Linked DNA regions of Saccharomyces cerevisiae S288C. The protein of the gene in region 2 binds, or shares a complex with, the protein of the main gene of each other region. Each region holds a gene or a part of one and is shown on either strand. Other genes may lie near its edges. A codon is read from its position in the direction of its gene.

Evidence for each region. The genes of interacting proteins can lie anywhere in the genome.
Region 1: the proteins of STE4 (region 2) and GPA1 are in contact, whole or in part, in a cryo-EM structure (PDB 7AD3), measured with the Saccharomyces cerevisiae proteins. Residues at the interface, in NP_014855.3 of Saccharomyces cerevisiae: Asn85 (codon at 1,768), Gly90 (codon at 1,753), His91 (codon at 1,750), Asn92 (codon at 1,747), Lys94 (codon at 1,741), Ser104 (codon at 1,711), Gln112 (codon at 1,687), Asp113 (codon at 1,684), Phe115 (codon at 1,678), Leu117 (codon at 1,672), Ala122 (codon at 1,657), Ser123 (codon at 1,654), Leu125 (codon at 1,648), Lys126 (codon at 1,645), Gln127 (codon at 1,642), Asn128 (codon at 1,639), Ala129 (codon at 1,636), Gln135 (codon at 1,618), Trp136 (codon at 1,615), Leu138 (codon at 1,609), Leu154 (codon at 1,561), Asn155 (codon at 1,558), Asn156 (codon at 1,555), Arg168 (codon at 1,519), Cys182 (codon at 1,477), Tyr183 (codon at 1,474), Asp224 (codon at 1,351), Leu226 (codon at 1,345), Ser248 (codon at 1,279), Asp272 (codon at 1,207); in NP_011868.1 of Saccharomyces cerevisiae: Thr7 (codon at 1,934), Gln8 (codon at 1,937), Thr9 (codon at 1,940), Ile10 (codon at 1,943), Asn20 (codon at 1,973), Lys21 (codon at 1,976), Ala23 (codon at 1,982), Asn24 (codon at 1,985), Ile27 (codon at 1,994), Glu28 (codon at 1,997), Ser30 (codon at 2,003), Leu31 (codon at 2,006), Gln32 (codon at 2,009), Glu34 (codon at 2,015), Lys35 (codon at 2,018), Asp38 (codon at 2,027), Lys43 (codon at 2,042), Thr301 (codon at 2,816), Gly302 (codon at 2,819), Ile303 (codon at 2,822), Glu305 (codon at 2,828), Leu318 (codon at 2,867), Arg324 (codon at 2,885), Ser325 (codon at 2,888), Glu326 (codon at 2,891), Lys329 (codon at 2,900), Trp330 (codon at 2,903), His332 (codon at 2,909), Cys333 (codon at 2,912), Phe334 (codon at 2,915).

What each region holds. Positions count from the first base shown.
Region 1 is NC_001140.6:112,832-116,832, reverse strand, and holds GPA1 (guanine nucleotide-binding protein subunit alpha), read left to right. Parts: upstream 1-1,915; coding exon 1,916-3,334; downstream 3,335-4,001. Other genes in the region: protein transporter TIM10, read left to right, coding at 932-1,213; Nem1-Spo7 phosphatase catalytic subunit NEM1, read left to right, coding at 3,739-4,001. UniProt on the Saccharomyces cerevisiae protein: Alpha subunit of the heterotrimeric guanine nucleotide-binding protein (G protein) that mediates mating pheromone signal transduction.
Region 2 is NC_001147.6:741,134-744,929, reverse strand, and holds STE4 (G protein subunit beta), read right to left. Parts: upstream 2,021-3,796; coding exon 749-2,020; downstream 1-748. Other genes in the region: SAS5 (Sas5p), read left to right, coding at 1-395; dynamin-related GTPase MGM1, read left to right, coding at 3,361-3,796. UniProt on the Saccharomyces cerevisiae protein: Implicated in the a- and alpha-factor response pathway. The beta and gamma chains of the putative yeast mating response pathway G protein play a positive role in initiation of the mating response.

The DNA.
Region 1 (4,001 bases), on a different chromosome or scaffold from region 2:
TTGTTTTTGTAGACCTAATAAAAGAACCTTTTTTAACAATGTCCTAACAATAATTTCAACAGTTGCCAAACCTCAAATAGTGTTGGAATAAAAATCCACTATCGTCTATCAACTAATAGTTATATTATCAATATATTATCATATACGGTGTTAAGATGATGACATAAGTTATGAGAAGCTGTCATCGATGTTAGAGGAAGCTGAAGTGCAAGGATTGATAATGTAATAGGATAATGAAACATATAAAACGGAATGAGGAATAATCGTGATATTAGTAAATAGAAATATAGATTCCATTTTGAGGATTCCTATATCCTCGAGGAGAACTTCTAGTATATTCTGTATACCTAATATTATAGCCTTTATCAAAAATGGAATCCCAACAATTATCTCAACATTCACCCATTTCTCAAATAGTATGTTTTGGTGTTAAAGAAGAACATTGGAAACAAAGGAAAGGTAAGCATTAGCCCGGAAACAAAACAAGAGGAAGTAATATACACCTTTTTGGTTAACTTGTTCGTTCAGAAGAGCCCAAGTATGTAATTATTTTTTGCAAATCTTTCCTCAGTAACGATAACGACACGAAGGTAATATTTTAAAACATTTATCAACAAGTCACTAAATATAATCTGGGTCCTATCACTATTAGAGCTTCTATGGCCAAGTTGGTAAGGCGCCACACTAGTAATGTGGAGATCATCGGTTCAAATCCGATTGGAAGCATTTTTTGCATTGATTTCCCAATTCGTAGCTGATGATCACCCTCTGAAGCTATCGGACATTTTTTTTCTTTAATTTTTTCAGCGAGAGAGCTGGCAGTGAACGTACAAGAGCAAGCTCTCTAAAGAACTATTACTCTCCTCGTTCCCCTCTCATGTCTTTTAACAGATAAACAAGCAAAAGAAGGAACTATCATACTTAGAAAAACATGTCTTTCTTAGGTTTCGGTGGTGGTCAGCCTCAATTATCATCTCAACAAAAGATTCAAGCTGCGGAAGCTGAACTAGATTTGGTCACAGACATGTTCAATAAATTGGTTAATAACTGTTATAAAAAATGTATCAATACTTCTTATTCCGAGGGTGAGCTGAATAAGAATGAATCTTCGTGCCTAGACAGATGTGTGGCCAAATATTTTGAGACCAATGTTCAAGTCGGTGAAAACATGCAGAAAATGGGCCAATCATTTAACGCAGCCGGTAAGTTTTAGAAATGTGCATTAAAGCAGTAATGATAAGACGAAAATAAGAAAAGAAATCCATAAGCTGTTTTACTCGACTCAACGTTATAATTAGTATTATTGATTCATATCCTGTATATACAAGTAACATTATACTCTTTTCTGTACTTCATCTTTACCTTTTTATCTTACATGGCACATGTTGTTTGAAAACAAGATCATAGGTGGATAAAGCAAGCCGAATCTAAAAAAAAAAAAATGTCTCTATTGGAAAACTGAATGCATAACGATATTCCCTTTTCATGCAGATAACACTGACTAGTTTCAATTTGAAACGCATCTTCGTGTTATTTCACCGAAACGCACTCGGCTCAGCATGTTAAAAAGCACATCAATTTAGGGCTCTGCGCGTCCTTCTGCGTATTCTTCCTTGTAGAAATGCAATTAAATGGAGAGCAGAAATTTTTTTGTTACATATTGTTTTCCTTAAAGGGAAATATTAAAAAATAGTCTAAAATGAAGAGGATAGTAGAATTCCACCAATTTCTTTACGTTTTATATTATTCGTAATCTTTTGATCTGTTATTCATTTTTTCTTGTCACTCCGTTTCTAACATTTTTGACCATTTCTAAGACCAAACTGAGTAGAAGCTATTCATACTGTAAATTGGTATTTTAGCATCACATCAATAATCCAGAGGTGTATAAATTGATATATTAAGGTAGGAAATAATGGGGTGTACAGTGAGTACGCAAACAATAGGAGACGAAAGTGATCCTTTTCTACAGAACAAAAGAGCCAATGATGTCATCGAGCAATCGTTGCAGCTGGAGAAACAACGTGACAAGAATGAAATAAAACTGTTACTATTAGGTGCCGGTGAGTCAGGTAAATCAACGGTTTTAAAACAATTAAAATTATTACATCAAGGCGGTTTCTCCCATCAAGAAAGGTTACAGTATGCTCAAGTGATATGGGCAGATGCCATACAATCAATGAAAATTTTGATTATTCAGGCCAGAAAACTAGGTATTCAACTTGACTGTGATGATCCGATCAACAATAAAGATTTGTTTGCATGCAAGAGAATACTGCTAAAGGCTAAAGCTTTAGATTATATCAACGCCAGTGTTGCCGGTGGTTCTGATTTTCTAAATGATTATGTACTGAAGTACTCAGAAAGGTATGAAACTAGGAGGCGTGTTCAGAGTACCGGACGAGCAAAAGCTGCTTTCGATGAAGACGGAAATATTTCTAATGTCAAAAGTGACACTGACAGAGATGCTGAAACGGTGACGCAAAATGAGGATGCTGATAGAAACAACAGTAGTAGAATTAACCTACAGGATATTTGCAAGGACTTGAACCAAGAAGGCGATGACCAGATGTTTGTTAGAAAAACATCAAGGGAAATTCAAGGACAAAATAGACGAAATCTTATTCACGAAGACATTGCTAAGGCAATAAAGCAACTTTGGAATAACGACAAAGGTATAAAGCAGTGTTTTGCACGTTCTAATGAGTTTCAATTGGAGGGCTCAGCTGCATACTACTTTGATAACATTGAGAAATTTGCTAGTCCGAATTATGTCTGTACGGATGAAGACATTTTGAAGGGCCGTATAAAGACTACAGGCATTACAGAAACCGAATTTAACATCGGCTCGTCCAAATTCAAGGTTCTCGACGCTGGTGGGCAGCGTTCTGAACGTAAGAAGTGGATTCATTGTTTCGAAGGAATTACAGCAGTTTTATTTGTTTTAGCAATGAGTGAATACGACCAGATGTTGTTTGAGGATGAAAGAGTGAACAGAATGCATGAATCAATAATGCTATTTGACACGTTATTGAACTCTAAGTGGTTCAAAGATACACCGTTTATTTTGTTTTTAAATAAAATTGATTTGTTCGAGGAAAAGGTAAAAAGCATGCCCATAAGAAAGTACTTTCCTGATTACCAGGGACGTGTCGGCGATGCAGAAGCGGGTCTAAAATATTTTGAGAAGATATTTTTGAGCTTGAATAAGACAAACAAACCAATCTACGTGAAACGAACCTGCGCTACCGATACCCAAACTATGAAGTTCGTATTGAGTGCAGTCACCGATCTAATCATCCAGCAAAACCTTAAAAAAATTGGTATTATATGAAGGAACTGTATAATTAAAGTAGTGTTTAGATACGTAAATTCTGTTTCCGAAGATGCAAGAAGGAGCAGCAGCACCAGAAAAAATTACTATTTTTCTTCTCCATTAGAGTCTATGATGGAATGCCAAATGAAAAAGCCATTTTGTTCAACAGTTCTTGATCTCGTTAAATCGTTCCGGGTTTTCAATTGAAAAACAAGGGTAATAAAATCGCATGAGAAAAAAAAGGTCCAGACACTTTTTTAGAAGAAAAACTCTTGAAAACAATTGATTCTTCTACGTAAGGACAGGGTATTATCTCGAATTCTTCTCCCTGGTAAATACTCGGGATATATAGAACCTATTTTGCATCCTATTCTCACTTTTCTTTATTGTTGTTAATTTCTGGACATTGTTTCATTAATTGAATGAATGCCCTAAAATATTTCTCAAATCATTTAATAACTACAAAGAAACAAAAAAAAATCAATGTTGAGGTGACAAAGAATCAAGATCTACTAGGCCCTTCAAAGGAAGTTTCGAACAAATATACTAGCCACAGCGAAAATGATTGCGTTAGTGAGGTGGACCAACAGTACGACCACTCCTCAAGCCACTTAAAAGAATCTGATCAAAATCAAGAGCGCAAAAATTCTGTTCCTAAAAAACCAAAAGCTTTACGTTCCATCCT
Region 2 (3,796 bases):
CCGTTGATGTGCCTCATGAATTCTCACATCTCAATAGTGAACTATCTAAATATTTTGATCTCCCGTGGAAAGTAGTGTCTCCGGAGGAAGAAATGTCTCTTCGTATAGCCGATTTGCCCTGGATTAAAAGCCTTGCGCTTATAGATGAGGATATGATGACGGACGTGGTTCAGATGATATTGAATGATCCTGCAGTACAGAGAGCAATTGAAAATCATCCCAGAAGGGAGCAGTTTTTTATGTTTATAACACAACTACCAGATGATTTGTTAATGAAAATTCAGGCATTTTTGAAATTACCGAACAAAAATTCCACTAAACAAGAAAGGACAAATTTTGGGTCAGACGCAATACATAAGGACGAGCCAGTGAAGGCTCATAACAAGCTAAAGTAGGGACAGCCATCATGAAATTAAACAATGCCTGAAAACATAGATGATTCTAGCAAGTTGGTCAAATAAGTCAGTGAATAATACTGTTTCCAAAACGATTGAAAAGAATTTTTGAGTGCATGACACTTTTGTTCGTTTTTGTTTCGTTTATCCAAAGAGAAAAAGGAAGCAAATGACAATGCTTTGAATTTTCATTGTTGAATGTTTTGACTTACTTTATTAAAGGACGTTTTTGCGCTTCCACAGAACTAATGTTACTGTTGTTATTCTATGTAAATATGGGATGGGTGTAGGTATGTATATTTATATAATAGCATCCATTGATAATTACTGCTCACAGTATTTCCAATTCGAAGCTATTGATAACCTGGAGACCATATTTTCATGGTTGAGTCCCATGAACCTGTACATACAGCTAACCCATCTGGACTCGAGCGCACACCAGTGACTCTGCCACCATGACCTTCTAATTTTCCAACAATCTCTCCTTTTAATACATCCCACACAACACAACCAATGTCTGTATAGCATGAGTACATCAATCTTCCAGATGCACTAAAATCTAAAGAAACAACGCCTTGGTTGTCTAGATAGCTTGAGCTTGTTGATTTTAAAGTTTGTGGCGATTGCGCGGTATTGTACTCCATGTTAGCTGCCATATAAGTAGGGGTAGGGGTACGTTCTTCATAACCTCGAAAAAGAGAAAAAGTAGCAATAGAACAGTCCGACCTTAAATCATACATATTTATCGCACCATTGTCACTTCCTGCAACAATCGACATCCCGTCTTTGAAAAAACGAAGTGCATTAATATCACTATCGTTAACGTAAAAGCTTTGTACAGCGGACGGAGATCTGCTATCCCATATGTAAGTATACCCGTCTGATCCACAGCTAGCGAATGTGTTCGAAGAATTTTCTGAGTTTGGCTCTTCAGGAATAGCTAATGCCAAAACATCACCTAAATGGTCAGAATATTCTCTCACCCTCTTTGCTTTCGGTATATCCCACAAGGCACATGTCATATCCCCACTTGCTGTCAATATATGTGCGTTATCTGTAAATTCAATGTCAGAAATATAGCAAGTATGTCCTTTGAAAATTGACGCAACGTTTTGCGCTACTCTGTTTTCTTTCGAAACTCTATAAATGGTACAGTTATTGTTTAATCCTGCGCTTGCTACCAAAGTACTCGATGGCGAAATAGCGCAGGAAAGAACCCATTGAGAATCTAATGGAATAGCGTTCTGTTTTAAACCTGAAGCACTGTCCCATATAAGCATAAAGCCATCTTGACTTGCACTCAAAATACGTTTTGAATCTCGACTCCACCGAAAATCTGAGATTTTATTATTATGGCCTTTCAACACGATATTTGGCTTTAAGTTGATCTTATTTTTGGTCAACGAAGTAACTTTGTTGGCCATCTGGAATAAGCTTGCATCTTGTATCTTGTGTTTTGCTTTATTTATTTGAGCATGAAGCTGTTTACTCTCTTGTCTGGCGGCCTCTATTTTATTTTGAATTTCATCCTCCACTGCAGAGATATCCTGTAGACTTTGTGGTTGTATATACTGTTGGGTGACATTATTAGAATACGTTATCGAGTCCATCTGATGTGCTGCCATCGTAATGTGTACCTGATTGAGCTGTACAGTTTTTTGAGTATTTTCTTCCTTGACTTAATGAACTAGCAATATCGTATTTTCTTCCCTCTTTCCTTCCAATAATTCTGGCCTATTGACCTTGAGTTCTGGCACAAAGGAGATTATGAATAAAATGTGCTTTACAGCGAGTTACTACAAAAAGGGGAAGAAAACAATTAGAAAAGTGATAAGAGATTTTGAGGATACTGTTTCGATATTGAAGGGATTCAAGTCATGTGAAGGATGGACTTCCAAAAAAGTTTTATGTTTGAAAGTTTAAGTTACAACTAATATGAAACAGGCAAGTGTCAGTTGAAAACAATCTGAAAAAATTTTCGACACACAGAAAAACAACTGTTGGGTAAACCTAACAGGGCTACAAGTCAATCTGTTAAGGCAAAAAGCCTCACAAACTTTTTCCTGCGTAACACATGTGTCTTTTTTTTACGCAGTATCTCTTCCTGAAACATTTTTCAACGCGTGTAAAAATTTGCATCTGACGAAAGTGCGTACAAAGGGTTGTGGTCCCAAAAGAGGTAGTACACGCCGAGAATTTGCACAGGGTACTGGTTACAAAAGGTAAGTACCCCCCGCAGGGACGGTTGAAGCTATTGAATCTTCGTCTCATCGGCTGATATCAAAATCCGATCATACATACCCATCTCAATCTCAATAATTGACATTTCATTTAGCCAGAGAAGAACATCGACAAGTAAGCTGTTCTTCTGCTCGCTAATGGTAAATGAAGTAGTCGCTCTTAAGTAATTATAAATAGTACATCTCTCTCAGCGGATGACATATTGTGATAAAATTTTAACGCAGGTGTCAGTAAATAACAGAGTTGTAATTAGTTTTAACTGCAAAAGACTTCGCAAAGAACATATGGCGGGGTTTATCCTTGAAAAAACGGTTTCCATAGGAAGCCTAAAATATGAATGGATCTAGTGTACTCTTTGAGGAAATATATTTCAAATATTTCTGTCCATGAAAGATTTACTATGAAATTAACCCTCATTCAGCGCTTCGTATTCGATGATCAATATGCAAGTTGTTAATATTTCCTTGTACCGTTAAAAACAAAATAGTAGCGTTCTATTGAAAGGCAAGACATAATCAGCTAGGAAGGTTCACACCAGTTAACGGGAGAACACGAAAAAGCCTCTTTTTGGGTAGTACAGATATCATTTTATTCTTAGGCTTTTCCATTCTTTTCGTACTTATAATATAGCCTCGCATATTCACCATAATACTCTGAAAGCATGAGTAATTCTACTTCATTAAGGGCCATCCCAAGAGTGGCGAACTATAACACATTAGTAAGGATGAATGCGAGCCCAGTACGGCTTTTAATTCTGAGAAGACAGCTTGCTACGCATCCGGCGATACTATATAGCTCTCCTTACATCAAAAGTCCGTTGGTGCACTTACACAGCCGCATGAGCAATGTTCACAGATCAGCACATGCCAATGCTTTGAGTTTTGTTATCACCAGGAGATCGATATCACATTTTCCTAAAATTATATCTAAAATTATTAGGTTACCCATATATGTGGGTGGCGGGATGGCTGCTGCAGGGAGTTATATAGCTTATAAGATGGAAGAAGCTAGCTCTTTTACTAAGGACAAACTAGATCGAATCAAGGATTTAGGTGAATCGATGAAGGAAAAGTTTAATAAAATGTTTTCCGGTGATAAGTCACAAGACGGTGGTCATGGAAACGATGGAACGGTGCCAACTGCTACTCTAATAGCCGCTA